Diceros bicornis minor: one gene and its partner. The protein of the gene in region 2 purifies or fractionates together with the protein of the main gene of each other region. This does not show direct contact. Links are inferred from orthologs where the notes say so. Each region holds a gene or a part of one and is shown on either strand. Other genes may lie near its edges.

The links. Proteins that work in one complex are often made in the same cells at the same time.
Region 1: the proteins of HNRNPC (region 2) and CRNKL1 purify together in Homo sapiens (co-immunoprecipitation; 3 studies listed by BioGRID and IntAct, with this or other methods). This does not show direct contact. The link is inferred for Diceros bicornis minor from reciprocal best matches to the Homo sapiens genes HNRNPC and CRNKL1.

What each region holds. Positions count from the first base shown.
Region 1 is NC_080758.1:46,550,127-46,561,030, forward strand, and holds the start of CRNKL1 (crooked neck-like protein 1), read right to left. Parts: upstream 4,472-10,904; 5' UTR 4,372-4,471; coding exon 4,321-4,371; intron 2,420-4,320; coding exon 2,267-2,419; intron 1,203-2,266; coding exon 1,111-1,202; intron 295-1,110; coding exon 136-294; intron 1-135. UniProt on the Homo sapiens protein: Involved in pre-mRNA splicing process. As a component of the minor spliceosome, involved in the splicing of U12-type introns in pre-mRNAs.
Region 2 is NC_080744.1:28,065,047-28,076,037, reverse strand, and holds the start of HNRNPC (heterogeneous nuclear ribonucleoproteins C1/C2), read right to left. Parts: upstream 5,132-10,991; 5' UTR 5,012-5,131; intron 4,376-5,011; exon of another isoform or gene 4,330-4,375; intron 1-4,329. UniProt on the Homo sapiens protein: Binds pre-mRNA and nucleates the assembly of 40S hnRNP particles. Interacts with poly-U tracts in the 3'-UTR or 5'-UTR of mRNA and modulates the stability and the level of translation of bound mRNA molecules. Single HNRNPC tetramers bind 230-240 nucleotides.

The DNA of each region.
Region 1 (10,904 bases), on a different chromosome or scaffold from region 2:
ACTTTAGTAGGTTTAAAGAAAAAGTAGGATGTAAAATTAAATACATAGGATTACAATTCTGTAAATAAAATAAATAACACGAATGTGGAACTTTTCTAGTCTACAAAAAGCCATTTCGTTAGATCAGAAACTTACCAGAACTGGTTGACTCGAGGCAGGGTTGTTATAGCCCTGTCCCAGATGTTTCGGGCATGGTTGACCTGGCGATTCTTCATTTCCATTTCTGCATATTTCAGCCAGAGTGTAATATTTCGATAGTCCACATCTAAGGCACGTTCGTATATGGATCGAGCCCTTAAGAAGCAAGATTTGGAGGGCATCAAAAGCAGTACATACAACACATGTAGTAATTATCTCAAACCATCTGCAGTGCCCTGCCATTTTATCAGGTGTCTACCGTGAGCCATGTTCTGGGCATAAGAAAAGATATGATATGCCCAGGAACCTTACAAAGACTTAGAAAAAGACACGCACGTAATTACAATGCAATGTGATAACTGTTATAGCTAAGATCTGCACAAGGAAGCAGAGGGGAAGAAATAAAAACATCTGATGGAAAAGGCTAAGCACTGGCTAACTCCAGAATTGAGGACTTGACGAAAGTACCAGAGGCCAAGGCGGATGTGGAGGGGTGCTCACTCCAGGCAGAGAGAACAACCAAGTGTCACAGTCAGGAGTCAGGAGTGGCAAGTATGCAGGCGCAGTGGTGGCAAGGGGTATGCTGGGAGAATGCAGAAAGGCTGGACAACAGGAAAGGCCAGTTGCGATTTTTAATCTTGTTGACCACTGGTCTTCAGTGGAACAATTTTTATTAAAAAAAATTCCAATACAGAGAAAGCAGATGAAACTGCACTTCTCTGGCTGTAGAGTGTGTGTTAGTGGCGAGACCTAACTATAGAGCCTCCTCCGCTATTCCCTCCAGGACTAGCCTACCATAGTGCCCCTGAGGCCCTTCAAAGGAAACCTAGGGTTCCGTGGAACAAACTTTGGAAAATTACTACCAGAGGCACAATCTTTTACTTGTGCGTTAACTTTTTCTATTTTTTTATATCTATTACCTTATGATGTCTTTATGTACAAACTGACATAAATGATGCTCAGCAATTTTACCTTTGAATCTCCTTTAGACTCTCTTCCCATTGTGCGTATTTTATCCAGTTACTAATTACAGTCCTGTTTTTTCTTATGTTATCTTCAAAAGTCTGGCGGAAGGCAAAAAGGGTCAAATTAAAGGAAAATAACGAAAAATGACATTACATTTTGTGTATTGATTCTTGTACTAAAAAGGTTATTCATTATGTTCTTTTTTTTTTTAATTAATTAATTAATTTTTTTCCCCCCAAATCCCCAGTAGATAGTTGTATGTCATAGCTGCACATCCTTCTAGTTGCTATATGTGGAACTCGGCCTCAGGATGGCAGGAGAAGTGGTGCCTCGGTGCGTGCCCTGGATCCGAACCCAGGCCACCAGCAGCGGAGCGCGCGCACTTAACCGCCAAGCCACGGGGCCGGCCCATTATGTTCTTATTTAAGAGAAATTACATCCAAGAATCCTTGAGAAATAAGAAACCCACGAAAGAAGGTTACAATCACAGGTATTTCTTTCAACTCTTACATGCAAACAAAAACTTTAGATATTAAGAATTATTAGCAGAATTGTTGATATTTTCTCTTATTACTCTTAACAACTAACTGATACTTTAACATACTCTACTTGTTCCTAATAAGAAAACGTTTTTGACTATTTACGTCCTCCCAGTAATGTCTCAGAATTTCATACATAAACTTACTGAGGATAACTAATAAGTTGATACAATAGGATTAGTGGTTTAAAATAATCCTACACTCTAGGGAGAGGAGGTCAGATCAGATCCCTGAGTCTTCTCATGGCTCTCTCCCAGGTCTTAACTCTTAACATAGAAAGTGGTACAGACAGAAGTACATAACGCTGTCTTGCTAAGTCCACCCCTTTTCCAGCTGTCAGTTGTTCCACCTGTTAAACTTCTACCCATCTTTGATTCAGCATCAAAAATTAGGTGTCTGGCGGATTTAATTACTTTATACTTTGAAACAGCCAACTCATGGCATACTTTATAAAGTTCAACAAAAGGCAGTTATCTGGTAACCAGAAGTTATATTATGCATGTGGCTAGAAACACTAACCCCTTCTTATTTTATAGTCTCTCTAACCAGTGAGGAACTTTTCAAACTCTGACCTATAAATTCTTAACAATATTAATAGACTAAAAGATATCACATTGACGGACCTTCCTTTTCCTTAGTTTATAATCATTTAACTCTTCTTCATCTGTGATCTTCTGTTGAGGTGGAGGTGGGAGAAGCTCAAGTTCTCTTTCTTTAGCTTCTCTTAAGAGTTGTTCTGCAGTTATCTGTACCTCAGCCGGGGCTTTGTTTTTCACCTTTTAAGACAGAAGACATTTCTATTTTTAGCAGATGATCTTCACACAAGGTTTAGGAAACAAACATTTCTTAGGATGTGAATTTTATAAGTATTATTACAAGATGCCCTTTTTGTATGACATGTTCCCATTTCTCTACGAAACTAAATAGAAAAAAAATTATGTTTTCTATCTTATGCATGGTATTTATTACAAAGCCATGGGTAAAAGTCTTAAGAGAAAAGGTAGCAAAAATAGCAAGTTTTCCCTTTTAGATTAGTATAATAATAAACTTTGAGACTGCCTAGGTACAACTGTCACCAGAGGTTTTGTTTTATCAAGATGTATACCATTTTTTATCTAGCATTACAACCTCTATTTACAGAATTCTTCAACTTATGCCCCACATGGTTAATTGTACTTGGTTTTTCATGGCATTCCAAGTCAAAGACAATATTCAGTAAGTTCCCATCATTAGACTGTAAGCTTCTTGAGGTCTTAGAGCTGTGCTGTCCAGTATAGTAGCCATGAGCCACATGTGGTGAGTCCAAATTGAGATGGGCTGTAAGTGTAAAATTCATAGTGGATTTTGAAGACTTAGTATGAAAAAAAGAATAAACTACCTAATTAAAATTTTTAATATTGATAACATGTTGAAATGACAATATCTTGGATACACTGGGTTAAATAAGATATGTAATTAAAATTAATGTCACCTGTTTTGACTTTTGTGTGTGTGTGTGTGTGTGTGTGTGTGTGTGTGGTGTGTGTGTGTGTGTGTGTGTGTGGGAGGAAGGCTGTTCCTGAGCTAACATCAGGGTCAACCTTCCTCTATTTTTTGTATGTGGGATGCCTGCCACAGCATGGCCTGATGAGCAGTGTGTAGGTCCGCGCTCGGGATCTGAACCTGCAAACCCCGGGCTACCAAAGTGGAGTACACTCACTTAACCACTCTGCCACAGGGCTGGCCCGTTTTGACTTTTTAATGTAGCTATGAGAAAACAAAATTACATATGTGACTCACACCATATTTCCATTGGACCAGTGGTGCCCAATACAAGTTTATGTAACTGAATTATAAAAAACATTAATTATTTAATGCCATGTGTAGAATAATGATGATGATAATGATGACAGCTCATATCTAATGTGCATTAACGGCCAGACACTATGCTATGTGCTTTAGATGCATCATCTCTGGGAGTCATCCAAATGGATATGTAAAGGACAAGCTCAAGAGAGCCCTCTGGGCTGGAGAAACAGACTGGAGGAAGAGTATCTGTAAAGGCTCAGGACAAAGCCTGTCACCTATTAGCCACTCGGTAAGTATCAGCTACGGATGCAAATATCAGATAATATCAAATTTATTGTTTAATGAACTTAAATTATGCCTCTACATAACTCTTGTCATCTACTCTCATTCCGTCCACTCTCAGCTGGGTTAACTCCTACTCAGCCTTCAAGTCTCGGCTTAAATGTCACTTCCTCAGCAAAATGTACTCTGGAGACCCCCTCACACAACTTTCATTATTCCACGGCCTACTCTACTTTGCCTCAGTAGCACTTGGTAAGGCTGCAATTTTACACTTACTCGTGTCTTAAATTTGAGTACTGCTCGTGGCCCGCATTAAAGCGTAGCTCCCCAGCGCCGAGCGCACTGCGTTTCTCGGTTCATGTTTGCTAAATGACCCCAATCCTCCGTCCGCAAACACAACTCCCCAGAACGAAGGCCATGCGGGTTGCTCCGTGGTGACAAGAGCCTGCGGCCCACCGCCGGCTGACCCTTCCTCTCCTTCTCTCCCTCGGCCCCGCACCGGGTGGGCCTGCGCCCGGGACAACACTCTCCCGCCCCGGGCACCACGGGGGTTCAGGCAAGCCCCTCTCCCAGGCCTCCTCTCACAAGGCCCCTCGCTATCGCCTACCTTGGCCACTTTGGGAATCCTCTGCTTCCCAGCCGCGGTGGAGGCCGCCATGGCTGCAGCAGCAGACCTCGGGCGACCCCTGGACCCCAGAAACCAGCCCCCAAAACTCAACGACTCTCCAAAGCTTTCTGACAACAAACTGGAGCCTGGAACCGGAAGCGGAACTGACTGGGGGTGACCTTTGACCTCCAGCACGCACCGTGACGGAGGCAGCGTCGTTTCCGTGGTAACCGAGCTGCGCGTCCTCCTTGGAGCCGGGGGTGGAGCGCCGCGTCCGGGAATTGCGGTTGAGGTAGGTAGCGCTGGCCTGCCCTGCAGGGACACTCTTACAGGGTCTAGGGCGTCAGGGGCGCGTCCCCAGGTCAGTCTCCAGGACTGGGATGACCGTGCGAGGACGGGTGTATCTGTCGAGCTGTGGCGCCCGGCAAAGGGAGTGGGAACCAAGCTCCGGGCCGGATGCTCGAGGGCTGGCGAAGATCGGCAGGCCAGAAAACTAGCATTCCCAGCATGCTGAGGGGGCAAGGTGCTGCGCTCCTAGGCGGCCGGCGCTGCGTTGCATTCTAGGCTTTGTAGTCTCTGAGGTCCACTCCCCTTCTGCACACTTGTGCTCTAATAATTAACTCTAAGGTTTGTGATTAAAAATAACGGACGGTGTTTTAAAACCAGATAATAGGGAAAAAAAATAAGTCAGCAGAGTACTAGCAAACCAGCCAGACTTGTGGTCGGATAAACAGATGTTTAAATTCTGAGTGCCTTAATTATGTAAATTCTCTTGGCCTCAATGTCCTTAACTGTAAGACGAGGGTAATAATATCCATTTCACCAGGATTAAAGAGAAAACCTATGTAAAGTGCTCAGTAAATTTTAGCTGGTGTAATTCTTGTCCTGCCTACAGAAACAGAAAAATTAATTATCTGCAAGCAAATGGTTAAGAGAAAAAAAAAAAAGTCTTTATTTTTTAGAGCAGTTTTAGGTTCACAGCAAAATTGAGTGAAAGGTTCACAGAATTTTGTATTTCCCCAGCACCCCCCCACACCCTCCCAACTCCCACAGCCTCCCCACTATCAACATCCCCCACCACAGTGGTACATTTGTTATAGTCGATAAACCTACATTGACACGTTGTTATCACCCAAAGTTTGTAGTTTATGTTAGGGTTCACTCTCCGTGCTATGCATTCTATGGGATTTGACAAATAATATAATAACATTGATTCACCATTAGAGTATGGTAAAGAATAGTTTCACTGCCCTAAAAATCCTCCGTAGTCTGCCTGTTCATCCTTCCCCCCACCCCTTTGCCCCCTGCAATGACTGATTTTTTTTTATGATCTCCGTAGTTTTTTGCCTTTCCAGAATCATATCATTGGAATCATGTAGTATGTTGACTTTTCAGATTGGCTCCTTTCACTTAGTAGTATGCATTTAAGCTTCCTCCATGTCTTACATGTCTTGATAGCTCATTGATTAAGAGAATTCTGACAGCTGCAAGTCTCTTTTGGTGTTTGGAAGAAATATATTTATATGTTTAGGTATGTAGAAATATGATGTCTACCTTTGCAGATACTGCTTTCGAAAAAATTTTACACTGATTTCCCAAACTGCAGTCATTTGTAACCAATGTAAAAATATTTGCCATAGCTGTGTACCACCTATATTATTGTTTAAATATTTTTATCTCACTTTTCAAATTTTAAATAAATTGAATGAGATTTTATATCACTATGATAAAGAGAAGTGACCTAACAAAATAAACAAATAACTATTAAAATAAAAAGATGTTTCCCTTAAATTTGTAACTATGCATGATCCATTTAACAAAGTTTAAAGTTAATCATCTCTAGCCTCCTCTCAAAGATACAGCACCTTAGAAGGCTTTACTTCAGATCGCCATCCTTCCATCTCACAAGTTTTTATTGTCTGGTAATTCAACTCAGCTTTTTTTTTTAAGCAAAATTTATCATGATTATTACTTTTCATTTTGCTATCAATACTTATTTAGATATACCTGCGTTTTTCATTTTCTCCTCCCAGCATTTCATGTTGTATTCTACTCCTTTCTGATTTTAATTTTATTCTTCCTGATATACGCCTTTTACTAATTCTTTCAACTGGGTTCTTTGAATGGTAATTTCTCTTAGCATTTGTATGAAATTGTCTTTATATCACCTTTATTTATTTATTTATTTATTTATTTATTTATTTATTTGTGAGGAAGATCAGCCCTCAGCTAACATCCATGCCAATCCTCCTCTTTTTGCTGAGGAAGACTGGCCCTGGGCTAACATCTGTGCCCATCTTCCTCTACTTTTTATATGGGACACTGCCACAGCATGGCTTGACAAGAGGTGCATTGGTGCACACCCGGGATCTGAACCTGCGAACCCTCAGGCCACTGAAGCGAAGCACACACGCTTAACCGCTGTGCCACCGGGCCGGCCCCTATATCACCTTTATTTTTAAATGATTGTTTAGCTAGGTGTAAAATTCTAGGTTAATGGTTGTTTTTCCCTCTGTATTTTTAAAATACTATTCTGGTGGTCAGGAAGCTGTAGTCCATAGGCCAAATCCGGTCCATTATCTATTTTGTGTGACTCATGAGCTAAGAATTTTTTTTTCATTTTTAAATAATTGAAAAAATCAAAAGAATATTTTAGGACACACTAAAATTATATAAAAGTTAAATTTCAATGTCCAAAAGTAAAATTTTACTGGAATACAGTCATGCTCATTTGTGTTCATATTGTCTCTTGCTGTTAGTGTACTGTAATAGCAGAGTTGAGTAAATGCTCAAACGGCATATGGCTCATGAGGCCTATAATATTTATTATCTGGTCCTTTACAGAAGAAGTTTGCTAACCTCTGTTCTATTGGCTTCTATTGTTGCTGATGAGAAACGCACTCTTAGTCTGATTATTATTCTTTCATAGGCAGTCTGTCTTTTATCTGATTGCTTTTGGGTTTTCTCTTTGTCTTTGGGGTTGTCTCCCCATTATATATTTAGGATTTATTTTTATTTTCCTGCTCAGAACTGAGGTTTCATGTCTTTCATGAATCCTAAAAAATCACTAGCTGTTATTTTCAAACAACATTTTACTTATCCTTTTTGGAATTCCTATAAGACAGATTTTTTTTTTCATTCTGTCTTACATGTCTCTTAAGTGCATTCTATTTTCCTGTTTCTGTGTGCTTCTTTCTGGATAATTTCTTCATAACTGTCTTCCAGTTCATTAATTCTCTTCAATCTTGTCTAATATGCTTTTAGCCCATCCAATTAGTTTAAGTTTTGTTTTTGTTTTTTTTTTTAATTGATATTTTAATGGTTTCTAACATTGTGAAATTTTGGGTTGTACATTTTTGTTTGTCCATCACCCCATATATGACTCCCTTCACCCCTTGTGCCCACCCCCCACCCCCACTTCCCGGGTAACCACAGTCCAGTTTTCTCTGTCCATGTGTTGGTTTATATTCCACATATGAGTGAGATCATACAGTGTTTGTCTTTCTCTTTCTGGCTTATTTCACTTAACATAATACGCTCCAGGCCCATCCATGTTGTTGCAAATGGGACGATTTTGTCTTTTTTTATGGCTGAGTAGTATTCCATTGTATATATATACCACATTTTCTTAATCCAATCGTCAGTCGAGGGACACTTAGGTTGCTTCCACTTGTTGGCTATGGTGAATAATGCTGCAATGAACATAGGGGTGCATAAGCCTCTTTGGATTGTTGATTTCAGGTGCATTGGATAGATTCCCAGTAGTGGGATGGCTGGATCATAGGGCATCTCTATTTTTAATTCTTTGAGGAATCTCCATACCGTTTTCCATAGAGGCTGCACCAATTTGCATTCCCACCAGCTGTGTATGAGGGTTCCTGTTTCTCCACATCCTCTCCAACATTTGTTGTTTTTTGTCTTGGTGATTATAGCCATTCTAACGGGCGTGAGGTGGTATCTTAGTGTTGTTTTGATTTGCATTTCCCTGATGATTAGTGATGTTGAGCATCTTTTCATGTGCCTATTGGCCATCTGTATATCTTCCTTGGAGAAGTGTCTGTTCATTTCCTCTGCCCGGTTTTTGATCGGGTTGTTTGTTTTTTTGTTGTTCAATTGTGTGAGTTCTTTATATATTATGGAGATCAACCCCTTGTCAGATGTATGTTTTGCAAATATTCTCTCCCAGCTGGTTGGTTGTTTGTTCATCTTGATTCTGGTTTCATTTGTCTTATAAAAGCTCTTTAGTCTGATAAAGTCCCACTTGTTTATTTTTTCTTTAGTTTCCCTAGTCTGGGTAGGCATGTCATCCGAAAAGATTCCTTTAAACCCAATGTCAAATAGTGTGTTGCCTATATTTTCTTCTAAGAGTTTTATAGTTTCAGGTCTCACCTTCAGGTCTTTGATCCATTTTGAGTTAATTTTTGTGAATGGCGATAGCACATGGTCCACTTTCATTCTTTTGCATGTGGCTGTCCAGTTTTCCCAACACCATTTATTGAAGAGACTTTCCTTTCTCCATTGCATGTCCTTAGCACCTTTGTCGAAAATTAGCTGTCCGTATATGTGTAGTTTTATTTCTGGGCTTTCAATTCTGTTCCATTGATCTGTGTGTCTGTTTTTGTACCAGTACCATGCTGTTTTGATTACTATTGCTTTGTAGTATGTTTTGAAGTCAGGAATTGTGATGCCTCCTGCTTTGTTCTTTTTCTTTAGGATTTCTTTAGCTATTCGGGGTCTTTTGTTGCCCCATATAAATTTTAGTATTCTTTTTTCTATTTCTGTGAAGAATGTCATTGGGATTCTGATTGGGATTGCATTGAATCTGTAGATTGCTTTAGGTACTATAGACATTTTAACTATGTTTATTCTTCCAATCCACGTGCATGGGATATCTTTCCATTTCTTTATGTCATCGTAGATTTCCCTCAATAATGTCTTGTAGTTCTCATTGTATAGGTCCTTCACCTCCTTGGTAAGATTTATTCCTAGGTATTTTATTCTTTTTGATGCAATTGTAAATGGTATTATCTTTTTGAGCTCTCTTTCTGTTAGTTCATTATTAGCATATAGAAATGCAACTGATTTTTGTAGATTGATTTTGTACCCTGCAACTTTGCTGTAGTTGTTGATTGTTTCTAACAGTTTTCCAACAGATTCTTTAGAGTTTTCTATATATACAATCATGTCATCTGCAAATAGTGAGAGTTTCACTTCTTCGTTACCTATTTGGATTCCTTTTATTCCTTTTTCTTGCCTAATTGCTCTGGCCAAAACCTCCAGTACTATGTTGAACAGGAGTGGTGAGAGTGGGCAGCCCTGCCTCGTTCCTGTTCTCAGAGGAATGGCTTTCAGTCTTTCCCTGTTGAGTATGATGTTAGCTGTGGGTTTGTCATATATGGCCTTTATTATGTTGGGTACTTTCCTTCTATTCCCATTTTATTGAGAGTTTTTATCATAAATGGATGTTGTATCTTGTCAAATGCCTTCTCTGCGTCTATTGAGACGATCATGTGGTTTTTATTCTTTGTTTTGTTGATGTGATGTATCACGTTGATTGATTTGCGGATGTTGAACCATCCCTGCGTCTCTGGTATAAATCCCACTTGATCATGGTGTATGATCTTTTTAATATATTGTTGTATTCGGTTTGCCAATATTTTGTTGAGGATTTTTGCATCAATGTTCATCAGCGATATTGGCCTGTAATTTTCTTTCTTTGTATTGTCTTTGTCTGGTTTTGGTATCAGGGTGATGTTGGCCTCATAGAATGATTCAGGAAGTGTTCCATCTTCCTCTATTTTTTGGAATAGTTTGAGGAGGATGGGTATTAAATCTTCTTTGAATGTTTGGTAAAATTCACTGGAGAAGCCATCTGGTCCTGGACTTTTATTTTTTGGGAGGTTTTTGATTACTATTTCAATCTCTTTACTTGTTATTGGTCAATTCAGATTCTCCATTTCTTCTTGGTTCAATTTTGGGAGGTTGTATAAGTCTAAGAATTTATCCATTTCTTCTAGATTGTCCAATTTGTTGGCATATAATTTCTCATAGTATTCTCTTATAATCCTCTGTATTTCCATGGTGTCCGTTGTAATTTCTCCTCTTTCATTTCTAATTTTATTTACTTGAGCCTTTTCTCTTTTTTTCTTAGTTAGCCTGGCTAAGGGTTTGTCTATTTTGTTTATCTTCTCGAAGAACCAACTCTTTGTTTCATTAATCCTTTCTACTGTTTTTTTGGTCTCAATATCATTTATTTCTGCTCTGATTTTTATTATTTCTCTCCTTCTGCTGGCTTTGGGCTTTGTTTGTTCTTCTTTTTCTAGTTCTGTTAGGTGTAATTTAAGGTTGCCTATTAGGGCTTTTTCTTGTTTGTTAAGGTGGGCTTGTATCGCTATGAGTTTCCCTCTCAGGACCGCTTTTGCTGCGTCCCATATGGTTTGATATGGCATGTTATCATTTTCGTTTGTTTCCAGATAGTTTTTGATTTTTCCTTTAATTTCATCAATGATCCATTGGTTGTTCAGTAGCATGTTGTTTAATCTCCACATTTTTGTCACTTTCCCAGTTTTTTTTTCCTGGTTCAT
Region 2 (10,991 bases):
TATAAAATCAGTTTTGGAATGGGAATGTGTGTGTTCTGGAAGGGTGGGGAAGGGAGGTTAAAAATCAAAGCTGAGCTCCAGTGAGTAGGGATGGGGTTCGCCTTGCTGCCCTGTGAAAGGAGAAGGGACAGATTGAGTCAGAGTTCCTCAGAAATGTTGTGCCCTAAACCCCCAAGACAGAAATATCTGTCCATTGCATCTAACACATTTTGGTAATGCATAACATTCCACTGGGATGGGGAGAGCCTCTCATCACCTCTACCAGTGACTGTCCTTACAATGCTTTAACATCAGTAGGTGACTAAAATTAACTAAATACGCCCCTGTATGTCCTTAGAGTCTCAAAAAAAGGTCTACATTCTAACATTCATCTTGATAATCAGCAGTCTGGGCAAAGAAAGTACAGAAAAACCAGGCTGACAGAGATGAAGAAGTGAGCAAATGTCAAACATCAAGAATATGAAGGTAAGGAGATTCATGTGTTCTAAATTTTAAGTCCATGTAGTTTTTCCTATGATATAGATTGAAGAATGGCCTACCATGAAGATACATAGTAGAGATAACATCTATTCTGAAAATCAATGAGTGATCAAACCACATGACCCGATAGGTTCAACAGTAAGGGAGAAAGATGCTTTAAATAAGGAGCACATTATTCCACTCACTGACAGAATGAAAAACCACAGATGAAAGAAAAAAAGATTATGGCAGCTACTGAATATTTAATGTCATAAAACAGGTGAGAAATAAAAGTATGTTTCTTAAGGAACGTGTCCCCATGGCCCCACTGTTTATTAAGTAGTATATATAGCTAATTCCAAGATATGAATTATAAGATCTGATACATAACACCACACTGAATAACTACATGTTGGACTGGCTGTTTCATCAGCAAAAACAAGATCTGCAATTAGATTATAGGTCTCTGAGTAAATAAGAATGAAGTGGTTGCACTCACACTTCAATATTCAGCCATGATATTTTATTTTCCTTTACAAATGTCAGTAAAATGAAAAATCTTAAGCTGAGCTTTTTAAAAGTGTTCCTTGAGTCAATTACGTATGAATGATGACAACAGAATAGGTATTATAACTCTAAAATTTTAATTTTAAATTTTTAAAAATTTAAATACAGGGGTCAGCCCCATGCCTTAGAAGTTAAGTTCCGCATGCTCCACTTGGGCAGGCCAGGTTTGCAGGTTCAGACCCCAGGCGTGGACCTACACCACTTGTCAGTCATGCTGTGGCGGCAACTCACATACAAAATAGAAGACTGGCACTGATGTTAGCTCAAGGCAAATCTTCCTCAAGCAAAATGAGGAAGATTAGCAATGGATATTAGCTCAGGGCGAATCTTCCTCAGCAAAAAAAATAAAATAAAATAAACGCAGACCAATTTAGGCATGACATATAAGTTACTTTTACACTTGGATTGATGTGTTAAATTGTACAAATGTGTAACTGAAGAAAAGGTCATAGAAAACGTACAATCATTTGAATGTTATCTTCTTCAAGTCAGCGTTTGTGATGTATCGTTATGGTGAAACATTCAATTTTCTTATTTGGAGTCACAGCCTGAAACCAGTACTCAAAATTTTCAGGATATATTACATAACTTCGTGGCTCATCTACAAACAAATTCTCTGCACTTGTCACAAGACAGTAAGCTTAAAAAAAGGCAATTACCATGAAAAGAAAGCATTTATATCTTTCAAAGTGAAGATGTTTCTTAAAAAGAGTCAGTTAATATGAAAAGCATTTACATCTTTCTGGGCCGGCCCCCGTGGCTTAGCGGTTTTAAGTGCACGCGCTCCGCTGCTGGCGGCCGGGGTTCAGATCCCGGGCGCACAATGACGTGCCACTTTTCCAGCCATGCTGAGGCCGCGTCCCACATACAGCAACTAGAAGGATGTGCAACTATGACATACAACTATCTACTGGGGCTTTGGGAGAAAAAATAAATAAATAAAATTAAAAAAAAAAAAAAGAAAAGCATTTACATCTTTCAAAGTGAAGATGTCTCCCAAGACGTTACGTTAAATTGATGAGCTATCACTCATAAACAAAGACCAAACAACTTTAGCACCTAACTGTAAAGCTTTGCAATCAACAGCATACTTAGATTAAACTGTCAAATCTCTGGGAGGTTCCGATTCCTCCTCGAAAGGGGTATTCTCAAAGCGAGGTCTGCCAACCAGCATCACTTGGCACTTAATTAGAAATGCAAATTCTTGGGGCACAACCCAGACTCAATCAGAAACTGGTGGAGAGCCCAGCAATCTGTTTTAAATAGCCCTCTTGCTGATTCTGATGTCAGCTCATGTTCAAGAACCACTGTGAAGAGTTTAAGATTGATATAAAATAAATCCAAGAACATTATAACCTATCATAATAAACGCACCAAGAGGATAAAAAAATCCTATAGTAATCCTTCTTCCCTTTATAAATCCCAAATTTCCAATATCTAAGAAAATCCATGTAGTTATGCTACATCTAATAGCTCTGGTTCTCACCATGGTCAACTCTCTAGTAAACCTAATACGTACAAAACCATAATCTTCCCTGATCCCAATGAGAATGAATGAGTATACATATAAAGTATGAGCAAATACTATTCCCCAAAAACTACTACTAATAAAATTACTTGAAGACTAAAATACTGATATTAAGGCAGTTAACAAAAATTACTATTATAAAAAAACTGCTTTTAATAATAAAATTATTTCTGTATACTTTTCAGCCACCCAGCAACAAATAACTTGAGTTATAGAAATCAGCAGTTAACAAAGGTAACAAGTCTAAACCCCCTCATAAGTATAAAACTGAAACCCAGAAAGTTTAACTGATTTGCCTGACACAGCTAATAACCAGCAGGGGCTAAAATCCAGTTCTCTAACTCCTAGGCCAAAATTCTTTCAACTGTCACACTCCCCAATTTACATCCCACACATTCACCAGTTAATATAATTAATCTTAAAGATTAGAATAACTAGCTGTTTTGGAGTTTATTCCTTGCTTGTTTCTAACAGCAATTCCATCCAAAACAAAGGTCGCATACTATGTGAAACCCTCTAGAGACCTAATGACAAATACATGGTATGTTTAATTCTCTACAGAAGGAATAGCAAACAGGACACCAAGCATTCCCCTGGCATGAGTATGGGAAACACACAAAAAGGTCAGAAGACGTGCAACTTAAGTCATCCTACTTAAATCCTTCCTCTCCAGCCAACATGAAAATGTTACTAATGCCCACCTATTTGAAAACACATCTAGAATTGTTTCAGATATTAATCCTGTGGCCACATCATTCCAGATGAATATTACCTCAAAGGAACTGTTACCTTGGTACATGCCGATCTCAAGGAACCCATAATTCTAACACCTTAAGGCAAAAAAAAGTGCCCTTCAAATAATTTCAACTCTTATCAATAATTGTTCTTAAACATTAATTCCTTACATTTCTCTTTATTTGCCAGCAATATTTTTATTAAGTCTATGATCTCCTGAATTAACCAATCACTGCTCTTACCTCATTTCTAACAGTTCTGCAGAGGGATAAACTTTAATTTTAAGCCCATATAATAATATATATGTTTAGGCTTAAAAAAATATAAAGGCAACGCCTTTAATCCCCATCACAGTATCTACACGGTGAGGGATCAACAAATGCATAGCTATCTATAATAAGACTACTTTTATTTTCTATCAAGTAGACTTGTTTCCTAAGGGATGAATTTATCCTGCAGTGTTGGTTTAAACTGTGCTTAATAACATAAGTTTTTGTGAGAATTAACACACTAAGAAAAATAAAATCAATGAAATCTTACACCAGGATAAAAAAAGCCATTTCTCAGAAAAGTGAAAGGGGTGCTATTTAGAAACCTATGTAATTTTTATAAGCTTAGCAAAAATTTTTAATCATGTTTCAGGACCTTGCAAATACTAGGCACTATAATACGTGCCTAAAACTATTTAGTCATGCATTTTTGTTAAAGTTTAGATGGTCTGGAAAATTAATATGAGAATACCCTGAAAGTCAAATTTTAAGTTTATCAGGACGTTACATTAACAACAAACGCAATTCTCGTAAATATTTTTCCCAAGTGCAGTTTGGGAATTTCCAGTTACCGCTAGTGGTTGCTGTAACTAGGACCTCGTAAACATCCAGATAATATACTACTTTTAGCACCTAGTATTCCAATAGGTGGGTAAAACCACTTGACTATCGTATGTGATCAAATTCCTTACCAGTTTCACTGATTTAATACGACCCTGGCAACCAACACTCTTACGCCTCAGTTTGTCTGAGAAAGACAGTAATACCTACCTCAAGCAAAGTTCCACTAACTTATATATTTCAAGTGATTTGTAACCTGCAGATAAAAAGTAAGCCAGCTTTAATTATTACTGTTAATATGTAAATGAGATTACAATATTTTTTAAAAATAGAATTGAAAATAACCATTTCGAGGTCCATCTTTTGCTCAGGGAGGAATAAAATAAAAAGCAACAAAATGTTAAATCTATTGTTATAATATTCGTTATTCTTACGCCCTGCGGTACGCTCCAGGATTTACAGGCCTGCGGCACAATATGTACTCTGCAACCCTCCCCCAACCCCCGCCCAATTTTTAAATTTAACAGGAAACAGCGGTACTACATTAACTTCAACTATATCAATGCGCATCTCGATCTTTCCTTCCACGATCTCTCTTGGAGTCCTCATGGTTTTAGAAAAGGAAAGGAAAGCAGCCGTTAACACAGGGAGCGAAAAAGAAAAAGGACGTTTTCCCTGCGGATCGTGGCCTAGAGGACACTAGGCTAAATCTACGCAAGCGCTGAGACCTACAAAACTCTCTCCAGCATAAGACACAATCCCCCAGTGCCAACAGAATAAACCGGGGCCTGGTTACTCTACCGAGGGGAAGGTTCCCTCGTCTCCTCTCCCGCACACTCTCGCGCTCCCCGAGGAACCCAACGCCTCCCTTGCTTCCGCCCCGTCTACTTACCAGGAGGGGGAAGGGAGAAGAGATTCGATTCTGAATCTCCTACCCCCGGGTTCTACGTGAAGAAGCCGACTGCTGCTCGAGGTCGGCAACGCGGCCGCAACCGGTTCGTCTCTTCACAAAATGGCCCCCGAGCCTCCTCTGCCGCCGAGGAGAAGGCCTAGCCCCCGCCCCACTTCTAGGAATCTTCCTATTGGCTGCGACTTTTCTCGCTCCCGCTTCTAATTAGACAGTTCTACCGCTCTTCACGATTCTGCCCAATCACAACCAGTAGTGGGTTAGACTAAGCAAGAGAATTTCCACATGCGTGAGAGAAGCTAGTTTGTAACTGGTTGTTTTTCCTGTCATTTATCGCCTGAGAAATGCTTATTGGCCACTGTACCTGACGAAGCGCTGGGTAGAAGCTCGCCTTTGTATCGCGCACCACTTCACATCCGGGTATCTGGAAGGTCTGATTGGCGGCCACGGTGTCCTATCTCTGCTCTTTAGAGTGCCTGCTAGAAGGCTCGCCCAGATCTCGGAATTCCCGCGGCGCGGGGGCGGGGAAGGAGTCAGGGGTTTTGTTAGGTAGCAGGCCTTGAGGCTCTGCCCCAGCCCCGGGCCTAGGAAAAATGAGACGCGCAGAGTGAATCCTCCGTCGTGCGCTGTGGATAAAGAAAGGACTTTTCTTGGAGTGGGGAGGGAGCAGTGAAGACTAGGCCTAGTCTTGTGTGTAGAAAACTAACCTGCCCTGCCGTTTTTCCAACCCTAGATCCCTTCTCGGTTCTAGACTCAAATGTCAGCTCCCTCCTGGACAACTCCACTTCATAGCCTGTCGGGCCCTTCTTCAGAAAATCCATATCTCACCTAAACCAACTGACTTCCTAATTCTTCTCCACTACAAAAAGTAAAGAAAGTCTAAATTCCAATCTTGGAATGCTACAGCGCCCATCCTCTGGCCCAAGTCATCTCACTTACTAAAACCCTACATGCCCACTAAATAGGCTTCCCCCTCTGTCTCTCTCCCCAAACAATCTGGTCCCTTAATTCTTTTCATCCTGAAATGGCGTGTTTCCCATCTACTCGTCTGGGTCGTCGCCTGCCAGGCTCTCTCGTTGTATTAGCAGCCATGAACGCAATGGAATAGGACCAGCTCTACTAAGAATGAGGCAGATTTCTCTGTGCCATTAGGGAAAGCAAAGTGCAAAACACTGTCTAGATGATGTGATTCCATCTGTATGTAATAAGTAAGGGATATAAGTGTATGTGAATGCAATTTTATGCATTAGTTTTGAATTAATTCTGAATTCCAGAGCGATTCACGAGGGAGCTGGCTGTTACCTGTCAAAGGACAAAACTAAAACAATTTAGTAACGAATTTGATGTCCTTTATTCAAGGGAAAACAATCCATGGATTGGGAGAAGGCAGTGCCTCACAAGCAGTGGAGCACTCTTGCCGAGGGCAGGAGCCAGGTTCATGTAGCATCAGAAGCCTCACGCGGAAACAGGCGGAAACAGCATGATCGGCTGGGCTTGCGTATCTGACCTTATTTAGAAAGATCAAGGAACACGGAAATAAATACAGTACATAGCCCAGAGCTGGCTTGGTATTTGAGGATTGGATATACTGCGTTTCTGGTCAACTGGAGCGTTTACAGGAACATGAAAGTTCGGTTTGCTGACGTGTCACCCAGCATGAGAGTCTCCATCTTGGGCCTAGAAATTTATTTCAAAATACCTTTGGGGAGCGAACCTTCTACCTTTTTCGATGGTATGCCTTTCTATACTGTTTGAATTTTTTCCCATATGCATGTATTGCTTCAAGCTAATTTAAAAAGCAAAAACAGAAAGTGTGTAAGAAAAAATATACTAAAATGTTAGTAGTGGTTCTCTCCTGGTGGGACAATTACATGTGCTTTTTTTTTTCACTTCCTTGTGCTTTTCTATATTTTCCAAATCGTCGACTTTGAACAAGAAATCAGAGAGAGAACATTCTACAAGTGCTTGAAGCCTCAGCTCAATTGCCCACATTGCAATTTATTTAAAACTACTTCAGAGCACTGTGGTTAATTTTACACTCATCTCTTCTCCGCTCCTGGATGGTAAGTTTTTTGATGGCAGAGTTTAATTTTTATTCCTCTCTGTATTCCCCTTGCTTACTACATATCACAGGGCCTTAAACAGAGATTGTTTTAAATTTGTATTAAATTAATTAATTATTAACTTTTATTTGTCAGGGGAAATTGCTATTTTCCCAGGACAAACAAGTACACTGTCCTTTCTTTATTATATATTTTGTATAGCACTTAACTCAGAGGGACCCGGAGACTGTGAGGCTTGGTCTACGTGTAATTCATGTAATTCTTGACTTAAGTAAACACAAATAAACACTAACATGTTTTATTACTCATTGTTCTCATAGAATAAAAATGTCTATAAAATGTCAATGAAAACCACTTATTTCATTTTACCAGAAATCAGTTTTACTGCATGATCATTGTCATGACCTACTTATTAACCAGCACTGTATTTGGTGCAAGAGAAGTACTTAAGAGACAGCATTTATGTTTTCCAGGAGTTCACTCCTATGCTAGGTAGGGTGAAAATGGAGGATACATGAAGAATTAACAATCAGTACCTCTGTCAAGTAACTTAGAGTTTACTAAGGATGAGAAAACTAGTGCAAAAATAGCATAATACAAGGCAGAACGCTAAGCACCATGTTGATAGCAGACATTCATGACAGTGGTTTTAAGGCTCTGTAAACCTAGGTGGGGGAGATGGAGGGAAGGAAGTTCCGTTGATCTCTTCTGCTTACTCTAAACACCTTTACAGTTCTAAAGGTGAATGCTTCTTCTATTGGGTGGCTGTGTAGAGTAGAAAGACAGCCATTAGCCAGACTCCAGGAGTGGAGGGAGAGAGAAGGAAGAGGTAAGGAAACAGAGAAGAAGTTAACTCCTTACCTTGGGCTAAAGAGAAAACAAAACAAAACTGAACTTTTATTTTTAATTCAAGAAGTAATTCTATTTGAGGAAGGCTTTATGTGGCTTGGGCGTTTTACCAGAATAATGTACCCGCTGTAACTTCTCTCCTCCCAATTCCAAGCCACCTGTCAAGAAGAAGAAAGGAAAAGCAGCAATAGCTATGAAATGCCTAATATTAATATTATTATATTAATAATATTATAAAGATATTACACAATACTTTCAAGACCCTTACTCTTTTACTGCATCCTGTTTCTCCCACCTTGAGTCTGTCCCTCAAGCTGATCCTGCAAACTGCTGTCATGGTAATCATCTGAAAGCATTCACTTTCACTGTGTGACTCCCACACTACACTCCTGTAATAGCTCTCTATTCCAGTCCTACGTTTTTAATTGTTTCATTCACAGCCCTTCCCTGACTGTCTCATTACCTGTCAGTGTTCTCCACTCCACAGGGCCCTATGCCTGGGCAGCCCCTGCTGTCCCCACTCCAATGGGCCACATTGCTGTTCTCTTTCCCCATAATCCAACCATTCTTTAAAACCCAACTCAAGTCCCAATTAATGCTTTTAAAGAATACATGATGATTCATTCAACTGCTTATTTAATCAACCAATACTTTAGTGGGTTTTTTTTGACTTTAAGTATTTTATATACTCAAGGCATTGATCTAAACGTCACAAAACTGGATATAACTTAGTTCCAGTTCTCAAACTTTGCACCCCTTCTCAAACTCATTTCGTAGTCATTATTTATCCCATAACAGGATAGCACTGTTTTGTTCTGTAATCCTTTTGTTTATGGACCCCAATTTGTGCTTGGTGTATGTGTATGAATCACAATATTGAATAGGTTGATTGTTTGACTAGTTATCTGACATAGTATTTCATTATACCTATTTCTGTTTTCATTCCAAAAGCCTTTGGCAGTGGGTAAAATCATACTAGGGAAATTTGGAATACAGAGTCCAGTGAATAGATTACTGATGATCTGGCTTCTAGAGTACAGATTCTATAAAAAAGATTTTACACATTGTTAATAAAATTAGTCATCACTTCGGTTGCATACACACCTTCTCAAGGCTTCCAGTGTGTTTTTTCTTTCTTATTATTTTAAAGCTTTCCAAATGGAAATATCCTATTTGATTTTTTTCTGATAAATATGTGATTATTGTAAAAATTTGAAATACAGAAAAAGTGAAAATCCCTATGTGATCCATTCTCCAAAAACATCCATTTTTAACTATTTGGTATAGATGTTTACAGATTTTTAAAAAATGTATATATGGATTTATTTTTACCTAAGTATTATAATCTGTAGTCAGGGACTTTTAAATTTTTGTTTTAATAACCAAAACACTGAGCTTAAAAATTAAAAAATAAAAGAACAAGCAAAAAATCTTTATCCACAAAGCTTGAAAAAATTAGAAAGATTAAAGAAATTCTGAATCATGACATCCATTTAGTGGTTTTGGGGTTGAGTAGTATTTGACTTTAAGTATTACTGGTCACCCTCATATTAATAATAATAAAAATAATAGATAACTTTTATTGAGCGGATATCATGCATCAAGCACTTTTCTAAGTATTTTACATGAATTAGTTCATTTGGTAATTTTATTATTCGCATTTTAAATATGAGGAAACTAAAACACAGAGAAGTTAAGTAATTTGCCTAAGGTAGCACAGCTAGTTGTTAATGGAGCTAAAAATGCTAGGAAGTCTGATTTTAGAATGTGTGCATATAACCATTACAAGTTATTAATAATATAAGTTTTGCAAAGGTGGAAAAATCCTACTCATTTATTTAACAAATATTTATGAAGTACGTGCTATGTAATAAGCATTATGCCAAGTTCTGTGCCAGGTCACAGGAACATAGAAGTAAACAAAATAGACATGGCCCCTGACCTTCAGAACAGAGTCAAATACTAAATGAATAATTAATTAATTGCTTAAAATAAATTTTATTAAGTGCTACTAAAGATAAGTATAGAATGCTATGGACCTGTGTAATATAGGCCTCTATCCCCTTCAAGGAGATACTGTGAAAATAAATGACTTAATTAGAAAGACTTCCTGTTTCTTTCTTGTTTCCTCCATTTCTTTTTTCTCCTTCCTACTAAATGTTTTTCTCCATCTTTTCTTTTGTCTTCTTTGATCCTTTTCTAATTTTCATCCCAGCAATGACCTAAATCTGGTTTCTTATAGGTTAAGCCTTGTTTAACACACTTGCCATCTGTTCTCCTTCTGGCTCTTGAGGTGCAAGATTTTATCCTCTGGTGATATTTCATTAGGCTAATCTTTGTACAGCTTACAAAATGCTTATCAGTTGACAGGTTTTACATTTCATAATTAGTGCTTATTTTATATAATGGTAGGAATTGACCTTTTGAGCACACATCTAAATGTTATAAAAATACTATGTGAACTGGCCCAGATCATTTCAAATATGAAATTATATTTCACATAATAATTATCTTTCACGTAACTGACCCTTACAGTAGTTCCCTCTTATGGAAGGGGGATATGTTCCAAGACCCCCAGTGGATGCCTGGGATAGCCCCGAACCCTACGTATACTATGTTTTTTCCTAACGGGCTAATGAGCAAGTAGTGTATACAGCATGGATACACCGGACAAAGGGATGATTGACGTCCCGGGCAGGATACAGCGGGACTGGGAGAGATTTCATCACACTACTCAGAATGGTGTGCAACTTAAAACTTATGAATCGTTTATTTCTGGAATTTTCTTTTTTTTTAATAATTTTATTTATTTATTTTCCCCCAAAGCCCCAGTAGATAGTTGTATGTCATAGCTGCACTTCCTTCTAGTTGCTGTATGTGGGACTCGGCCTCAGCATGGCCAGAGAAGCAGTGCGTTGGTGTGCGCCGGGGATCCATCCCAGGCCGCCAGCAGCAGAGTGCGCGCACTTAACCACTAAGCCGTGGGGCGGGCCCTGGAATTTTCCATTTAATATTTTTGGACCACAATTGACCATAGGTAACTGAAACCATGG